2 linked regions of the Sus scrofa genome follow. The protein of the gene in region 2 purifies or fractionates together with the protein of the main gene of each other region. This does not show direct contact. Links are inferred from orthologs where the notes say so. Each region holds a gene or a part of one and is shown on either strand. Other genes may lie near its edges.

What was found. Proteins that work in one complex are often made in the same cells at the same time.
Region 1: the proteins of POLR2J (region 2) and GPN1 purify together in Homo sapiens (affinity purification with mass spectrometry; 5 studies listed by BioGRID and IntAct, with this or other methods). This does not show direct contact. The link is inferred for Sus scrofa from reciprocal best matches to the Homo sapiens genes POLR2J and GPN1.

The regions. Positions count from the first base shown.
Region 1 is NC_010445.4:111,544,515-111,548,161, forward strand, and holds part of GPN1 (GPN-loop GTPase 1), read right to left. Parts: intron 305-3,647; coding exon 197-304; intron 1-196. UniProt on the Homo sapiens protein: Small GTPase required for proper nuclear import of RNA polymerase II (RNAPII). May act at an RNAP assembly step prior to nuclear import.
Region 2 is NC_010445.4:9,813,716-9,818,024, forward strand, and holds the start of POLR2J (DNA-directed RNA polymerase II subunit RPB11-a), read right to left. Parts: upstream 2,943-4,309; 5' UTR 2,842-2,942; coding exon 2,789-2,841; intron 1,661-2,788; coding exon 1,571-1,660; intron 229-1,570; coding exon 54-228; intron 1-53. UniProt on the Homo sapiens protein: Core component of RNA polymerase II (Pol II), a DNA-dependent RNA polymerase which synthesizes mRNA precursors and many functional non-coding RNAs using the four ribonucleoside triphosphates as substrates.

The sequences.
Region 1 (3,647 bases), about 100 Mb from region 2:
ATGTGAACCATTCAGTAGGAAGCCAGGACTCTCAATATATGGAACTCTTGCCTGGTGCTGTTCCCTTTACCATTTCCTCTCTCCCGCATTACTGGCTACATGGATAAGGTCTTCTCGCAACAACCAGAAGTTCCCAGGCAAACAATGAGGAGAAGCATCTGTTCTGTTTTCATGAGCCATCTCAGCCACCTCTCACCTCTGTGGTCAATATCATCAGTATCACTGTCAGCTTCCTCATCCTCTTCATCTAAGGTTCCACGAGTTAGGATCAAGTCAGATGGGTCCAGCATAGGAGATGAGCTGCCTACAGAGAAAACACCTATCAGTAGCATGCCATGACATAGGCCTCCTCAAAAGAGTGATTTAAATCAGTAAGTAACTGATTAAAAATTGGCAGGATGGGAATTCCTGCTATGGCTCAGCAGAAACAAATCTGACTAGTAACCATGAGGATGCAGGTTCGACCCCTCACTCAGTGGGTGAAGGACCTAGCGTGGCCATCAGCTGTGGTGTAGGTGGCAGATTCGGCTCAGATACAGCATTGCTGTGGCTGTGATGCAGGCCAGCAGATGTGGCTCCAATTCGACTCCTAGCCTGGGAACCTCCATTTGCTGCAGATGTGGCCCTAAAAAGACAAAAAAATAAAATAAAATGTCCTTTTATAAAAAAAAATTGGCAGGATGAAAGTGGTCATGATCAAATATAAGATTTTATCTCTTCTAAATGTACTGTTAATACCACTTAACATTTCTACACTAGTTTATTTCACAAAGTGCTTTCATGAGACCAATAACCCAAGAGGTCTCATTTTTAAGTTAAGGAAAATAACTTTCAAGTAGCTTATCGTAGTAGTAATATCATTTGTTTTCACTAGCTCTCACCTTGGAAGAGCTATGACTTTTCCTATGAAGGCTGAAGACATTTGAGCAGACCTAGTGTGCTGGTGAGTCAAAGGTAAATGTGTGGAGCTTCCTGGTGGAAATTTAAGTTCAGAGAGAGTCTGATGAGAATAGAGGTGAAATGATAAAGGAGCCAAGGTATTATTCAAGCAAAAGAGGGGGGGAAATGGAAAGGCAAATATATTAATTGAAGAAATTCCCTACTCAGGGAAACTGAATAAGAGCTGATCTCCAATGATCAGGAAAAGTCTAATCAAGTAATTCTAGGGCCGTGGATGCAGCCCATGGGGACTGGTTTCTATGAGAACCTAAAACCAAGCCATGTAACCTAAAGCCATGGGAGGTCATGACCACTCCCTCTTCAGGAGCGTAAAAAGTTACATAAAGCTCAGCTGGGAAACAAGGGTGGCCAATAACAGCAACATCAAGAGGCAGAGATCTCAAGGGGCCAGAGGCCTTGAAAAAGGACGATGACACATGTGCTGACAGTCAGTGCTTCATTCTGCGCCCAACTAAGAACTGTGCAACTCTACCTGTGATTTTCTGCAAACAATTTACTGAAACTCCCTTAACCTTTAACAGGCTATCCAAGTACATTGGACCCTTTGCACCAAATTGAACATTTGCCATTTCAAGTATCCATGAGTGATTCCCAAGGGCCACAGCACATAGATGTTTATGTTGCTGAGAACTGCAACAAAGATGGCACAGGCAAGCTCATTTAACTGGTAATCCCAGCCAGGGTCCAGCATCTCCTCCTCCAAATGGCTTTGCTATTCTCTACTAGACATATAACAATAGCTGTCATGAACAGAAGTTCACTGCTTTAAAGACTAGTCCACCAATGACTGGGTGGGTAGGTGGGTATATATTAAATTTGAGCACGAACCTAGGAACCCCTAGGCAATCGACGACAAAACTAACTCAAACAATAAAAAACACCAGTAAATTTAACAAATTTAACAAAACTTACATGAGGAAAATACTCCTGAAAGACACAAAAATAGACCTGACAAATGTGAACACATTCATTGTTCTCAGGAAGAGTCAACATCATAGAGATGTCAACTATTTAATTAATGAGCAAATATAATACAATCCCAATATAAATACTAAAGAGCTTTTTTTAGCAAGCCATATACGTTGATACTAAAGGTCATATGGAAAAATAAACATGCAAGAATAATCAGGGAAATACTAAAAATAACTCTGAGGAGGACTAGCCCTACTAGATATTAAAACATACTATAAAGCTTCTACATAATTAAAGCAGCATAGTATAGGCACACGGTCTAGAAGAAGAAAATAGGTAATTCAGAAATATATCCAAGTACATATGAAACTTGGGTATATGATACAGGTTACATCTCCTCACTGGGACAAAGGTAGACTTTTTAATAAGTCATGTGGGTACAACTCTTTATGAAAAAGGTAACAGAGACCTCACACCATACCCGGCAATAAATTCTAAATGGAACAAAGATCCAAATGTAGATAAATAAAACCATATAAATACTATAATACAATCGGGATGAATGCCTCTTAAACAGGTGTAGGCAAAGGATTCTCAACCATGACTCAAAACCAGGTGCAATAAAATATAAATAAATTTGACTACATCAAAATGAAACAAAACAGTAACTGTTGCATGGCAAAACACCACCATGAACAAAGAGTCAAAGGGCAACTGACAAACAGGGAGAGAATATCTGCAACATGTATCACAGAAAAATGGAGACTATCCCTACCTAGAATAAGGGATATTAAAACTGGTGTGTGAACATTTGAAAACTCAAAGGGCCTTTATTAATCAAAGCCTCACCCCACAAAATACTTATCATGAAGGAGAAAATAACTTTATGATGAAAAACCTAGCAGACACCACTTGAAGTAAGTGACCAAAGACAAATCTTCATCCGTGCCTAGTGACATGATACACGGAAAAAACACAACTTCACATCTGTAAAGTTCTGCTAAAAAGGAGCCACCTGAATCAAATCATGAGGAAACATCAAGCCCAAACTGAGTCACATTTTGTACAAGATATAAGTCCCATACACTTCAAAAATACCAATGTCGGAGTTCCTGTCGTAGCACAGTGGAAACAAATCTGACTAGGAACCATGAGGTGGTGGGTTCTATCCCTGGCTCACTCAGTGGGTTAAGGATCCGGCATTGCCGTGAGCCATGGCATAGGTTAAGGATCCGGCATTGCCGTGAGCCATGGCATAGGTCACAGAAGCAGCTTGGATCCTGAGTTGCTGTGCCTGTGGTGTAAGCCAGCAGCTGCAGCTCCGATTAGACCCCTACCCTGCAAACATCCATATGCTGCGGGTGTGGCCCTAAAAACAAAACAAAACCAAAAAACCCCAAAAATACTAGTCATGAAATACAAACACACACTAAGGAGCTGTTCTAGATTAAAGGAAAATAAGGAGTTCCCGTTGTGGCGCAGTGGTTAACAAATCTGACTAGGAACCATGAGGTTGCAGGTTCGATCACTGGCCTTGCTCAGTGGGTTAAGGATCCGGCGTTGCCGTGAGCTGTGGTGTAGGTTGCAGATGCAGCTCGGATCCCACACTGCTGTGGCTCTGGCGTAGGCCAGTGGCTACAGCTCCGATTTGACCCCTAGCCTGGGAACCTCCATATGCCGCAAGTGCGGCCCAAAAAAATGGCAAAAAGACAAAAAAAAAAAAGGAAAGTAAGAGACATGACAACTAAATGCAACACAGATCCAGGATTTTCTCC
Region 2 (4,309 bases):
CCCCGACCCCCCGACCCCTCGACCCCGCCGCAGCTGTGCGCCCAGCTGCTCACCCGGAAGCGCTCTTCCAGCAGGGAGAGCTCGCTGATGAGGTCCGTGATGGCGTTGGTGAAGGCCTCCTGTGGGCTGTAGTCCGGCGTGGTCTGCACGCGGATGATGATCTTGTGCTCCAAGGGGTGCGGGACTTTGTAGCCAGCGAAGAGCACCTGGGGGTCCTTCAGCAGCTGCCTGGGACACGGGACGGGCAGGGGGCAGGGAGGGTGAGCCAGGGCCCCGGGGGCTCGGGCCTCTGCGGCTTCCCAGGCCCTCTACCCAAGGCGTCTTCCTGTTGGGTTGGGGCCTGGGAGCAAAGGCAGCTGCTCTTCAGCTTCAGTTGTTTGGGTCCCCTCTTCAAGTAAAACAGACACACTGAAGAAGATGGACCACATGGGGCCGCCTCTCCCAACACACCTACCTCCACGATGCTCAATGGCCCTCCCTAAGGAACAGGGCTCCCAGCAACCTCCTCTCTCAGGGGACATCAGGGACCCCACAGTGGCCCAGAGAAACCTCCCCAGGCAGTAAAAACCCAGCCAGTGTGCGGGAAGCCAGAACATGGAGCCCCCAAAGGGCCTCCGGTGCAGTGAATACAGGCAGCAGCAGCGGGAGGGGCCCAGGCTCTGAGCGGTCACTGAAGTGGAAAGAGAAGTCCTCCGGGCACTTGAGGTCCTCCTCCCTGAGGCTGTGAGCGAAGCCTGCATCATGTGAGCACATGGGGTTTCTCCAGAGCAGGCCTGTCAACTGTGAGCACTGGGGGGTGAGGATGGCACAGGTGGGAACACTGGGTTCACACTGTGGGACCAGCGGGGCCCCAGGAGAGCTTTGGTGCACCACTGGCTTGGCTCTGGGCCAGAGTCCTCCAGACAGAAGGTGGGCCTCGCCAGCCCCTGCTCATGCCAGGAGGCTGGGTAGGCTCCTGCCCACGGACTCTAACTTGCAAACCTGGGAAAGACACCGCTTCACTGGTAGCCCTTCTCAGCAGCAAAACAGCAAGTCCCTGGGCCAGAGCGGCTATCACACTGCTGGCCACCCACCTGGCCAGGACTTCACCGGTGCAAATAACACCCACCAACCAATATGAGGTACCCACAGGATAGAGCACCTGATGGCCACAACCCCTCTCCCACGCCCTCCCTTATTCTACGCAGCTACAGTCTCTGGCACATCCATCTTAGAATACCATGCATCATCAAGGTCAATGTCACAAACGGTGGCAGGGTGGGTGGCCAACCCTGACTGCTTCCCCACGCTCGCTCGTGAGCACAGCATCCCAACCGGGCCTACTTCGCAACTCACTGCACATTCCCTTCCTTTAGCCAGATAACTGAGCCAACGCAGACACATAGCTACGTGAACAGATAGGGGCCAGTGTCATTTTGAAGAAAAGATACTAGGATGTGAATTCCCAGAGCCAGCACCCAGAAGGACTTCCTGGAGCTTAGAAAGACTTGAGATCATCTGGAACTTTTGCCTGTCCTTCCAAAGAGCCCCGTTAAACACAACCACCAAAAGCCTTTGACTTGGAGCTTACGATTTAATGATATTTCCCAGCGTGTGGTCTTCCTTGTTGATGGTGAACAGACAGGCATTGGGCACCTTGGTGTCCTTGTTGATGGTGATCCTAGGAAGAGGTAAAGGCGACAGGTGGGGGCTGGGGGTTCCCTCCTTCCGGGACTCTAAACCCTGCCCTTCAAGGCAGGCTCAGCCCCACCTCCTCCTCCTCCTCCTCGAAGCCTTTCCCCATCTCTTCATCAGGAAGACCTCTCATTCTCAGAGCAGCAGTGTGGCTATACCTCGAGCCCTGCCACGTCTGGTTCTGTGGGACCCATGCCTACTCTGGATTGCTCCTTCTCCACCTTGGCACCACTGCCATTTTAGGTCAGACAACTCTTGTTTGCAGGGGGCCGTATGACACACTGCGGGATGCTGGCAGAAGCCCGGGCTTCTACCCACTAAATGCCAGGAGCATCCCCTATATGACAATCAAAAACATCTGCAGACTCTGCCAAAGTTCTTTGGGCGGGGGGTGGGGGGCAAAATGGCCCCCAGCTGAGAGCTACTGCCTCGCAAGGGAGAGTGACAGGGATGGCAGGGGCTAGAACACAGAGCCCTGCAAAACAGGTAATTATGAGAAAGAAGAGCCAGTGCTGAGCCCAGGACTAAATACTTCACATAAACTATCTCGTTTAATCTCCTCTTAGAGAATAACCTATGATTTAATACAGTAATAAGCCCTTTTTCTAGATGGGGAAAGTGGGCCTCGGGCAGATTAAATCACCTGCCCAAAACCACAGAGTCCTTAAATAGGGGATCCAGGAGCCAAGCCCAGTCTGCCTGAGCACTGGATTACACTTGGCTTCCTCTGCAAGCAATGAGCAGTCCCTGGAGGTTTTACACCAGCGAATGAAGATCCGGTGTGAGTCTGAGAGCCATCCCTCTGGATGCAACAAAAAGGATGAAGGCGGCGGAGGGGAAGACCAGTGAGGGGGCTACCAGATCCCAGAATACAGACCGGCCACTTTGTTACTTAACCTCTCTGAGCCTTGGTTTCCTCTGCAAAACGGGGAGACTCACCACCGCCTAGGACTGTCTTAAGTTTGGCAGACACAGGTGTGAAGCTCTCGGCCGAGCAGACGCTCGAGCAAAAGTGGCTTCTGTCCCCACGCAACAGAGGACGGGCAGAGACTCCCCAGAACCTGCGTGCGCTGACGGTCCCGCCACCTTCCCCGCCCAGGCCGGTTCCACTTACTTCTTCTCGCCCTCGAAGAGTAAGAACGACTCGAAGGCAGGAGGGGCGTTCATCCTAGCACCGCGGCCACCTCCAAAGAGTCAGCTATCGCCGCCACCACCACCACCGCCTCCCGAAACCTAGAGCCCGACCACTTCCGGGTCAGCGGCTACTTCCGGATTACGCTAGCGGCGCCAAACCCGTGTGGGAACTAGTTCATTGCCCCCTGTCGGTCTGGAGGATCTTGCTCAGGCACGCGAAAAGCCGGCGAGATGAGCTGGTTGTTCTGCGCACGCGTGAATCCGGAGACTCCCCTCCCGGGCTCACCTGGGGGAGCAATTTGGCGCATGCTCAGATCACTAGCGGGTGATTGGTTTTGACACCTCCTTGTCCATTTCAAGCGGAACCCTGAGCTGTTCTTTCCACTCCCGCTGTCCCTTGATCCCTCTTTGGAAATGTGCCCTTGGAGTACACAGCAGGAGGCTTCCGAATGAAGAATGGAGCATTGGGGTGGTAGAGCCTTGGTGGGGTAGGCAGGTGTGGCCACTGGGGAGGTGCAAGAAGCCTCCTCTGGGCTAGACTGTTGTGTATAGATAACCCCCTTGCCAAGGCAGACCGCTACAGGACTCTTGGCTGAGTGGTCACTGGCTTGTCAAGTGGGCTTGTAGCCTAATGAGCTTCTTGTTAGTGGGGGCAGTTGTGGCTGGAGAAGAGGTTGGTATATACAGGTGAGGACAAAGAAAAAATGTTGCCTGTCATTTCAGTAAACAAAGAAGGCTGCCTGCCAGCCACTGCCCTGCCCCTGACTATGAGCCCTGAGGGACATTCGGGACGGAGAAAAACAGGGTGCTGGCCTTAGACAGTTAAGACGCCTATCAGGGAACAATTTCAATGAGCTCGGATTCTTGCATCTCCCCAAAGAAAAAGACTAAAATCATTAACTTGAGAAGTCTGTCTTTCGTGATTAGCAGTAATCTTTCGATGCGTGACTACATGTTTGTTTTTCAGCAAAAACTCCTAAATATCCTGGCTTCTCTCTCATCTCTTTGGAACAGTTCCTCAGAGCTAGCAAAGAGGCTGTCTCCCAGGCTCTGGTCCTCAATAAGGTCCCTGATGAAAGCTAACTCGCAAATTTCAAGTTGTCGTTTTTGTTTTGAGTCAACACAGGTGTGAGAAGAACTTGAAAAGATAAGTGTATGAGTTAGCTTTGGTGGGTTGGTATTTCTACAGTTTCGCCTAAGAGTCCTACCTGAGTGCTTTGAAGCAACAGGGGCTGTGGTTCAGATTAGCTCCTGGAGCCCTACCAGCTTCCCAGTTGTTTCTTTAGGGCTGGGCAACACCCAAGGGGCCCTCAAGGAAATCTGGAGCTTCCCCCACCACTTCCTGGGAAGGGCTAGTTCCTACTTGAGCCTTGAACCCTGGAGTGAGAAAATGTCCTTTGGGGGAGGCCAACACCAACCTAGACTCTCCAGGCCAAGTGGGTGGGGGTGGAGGCTCTTTAACTGGGGAGGAAAAGAGGACAATGACAGTAATGATACCCTG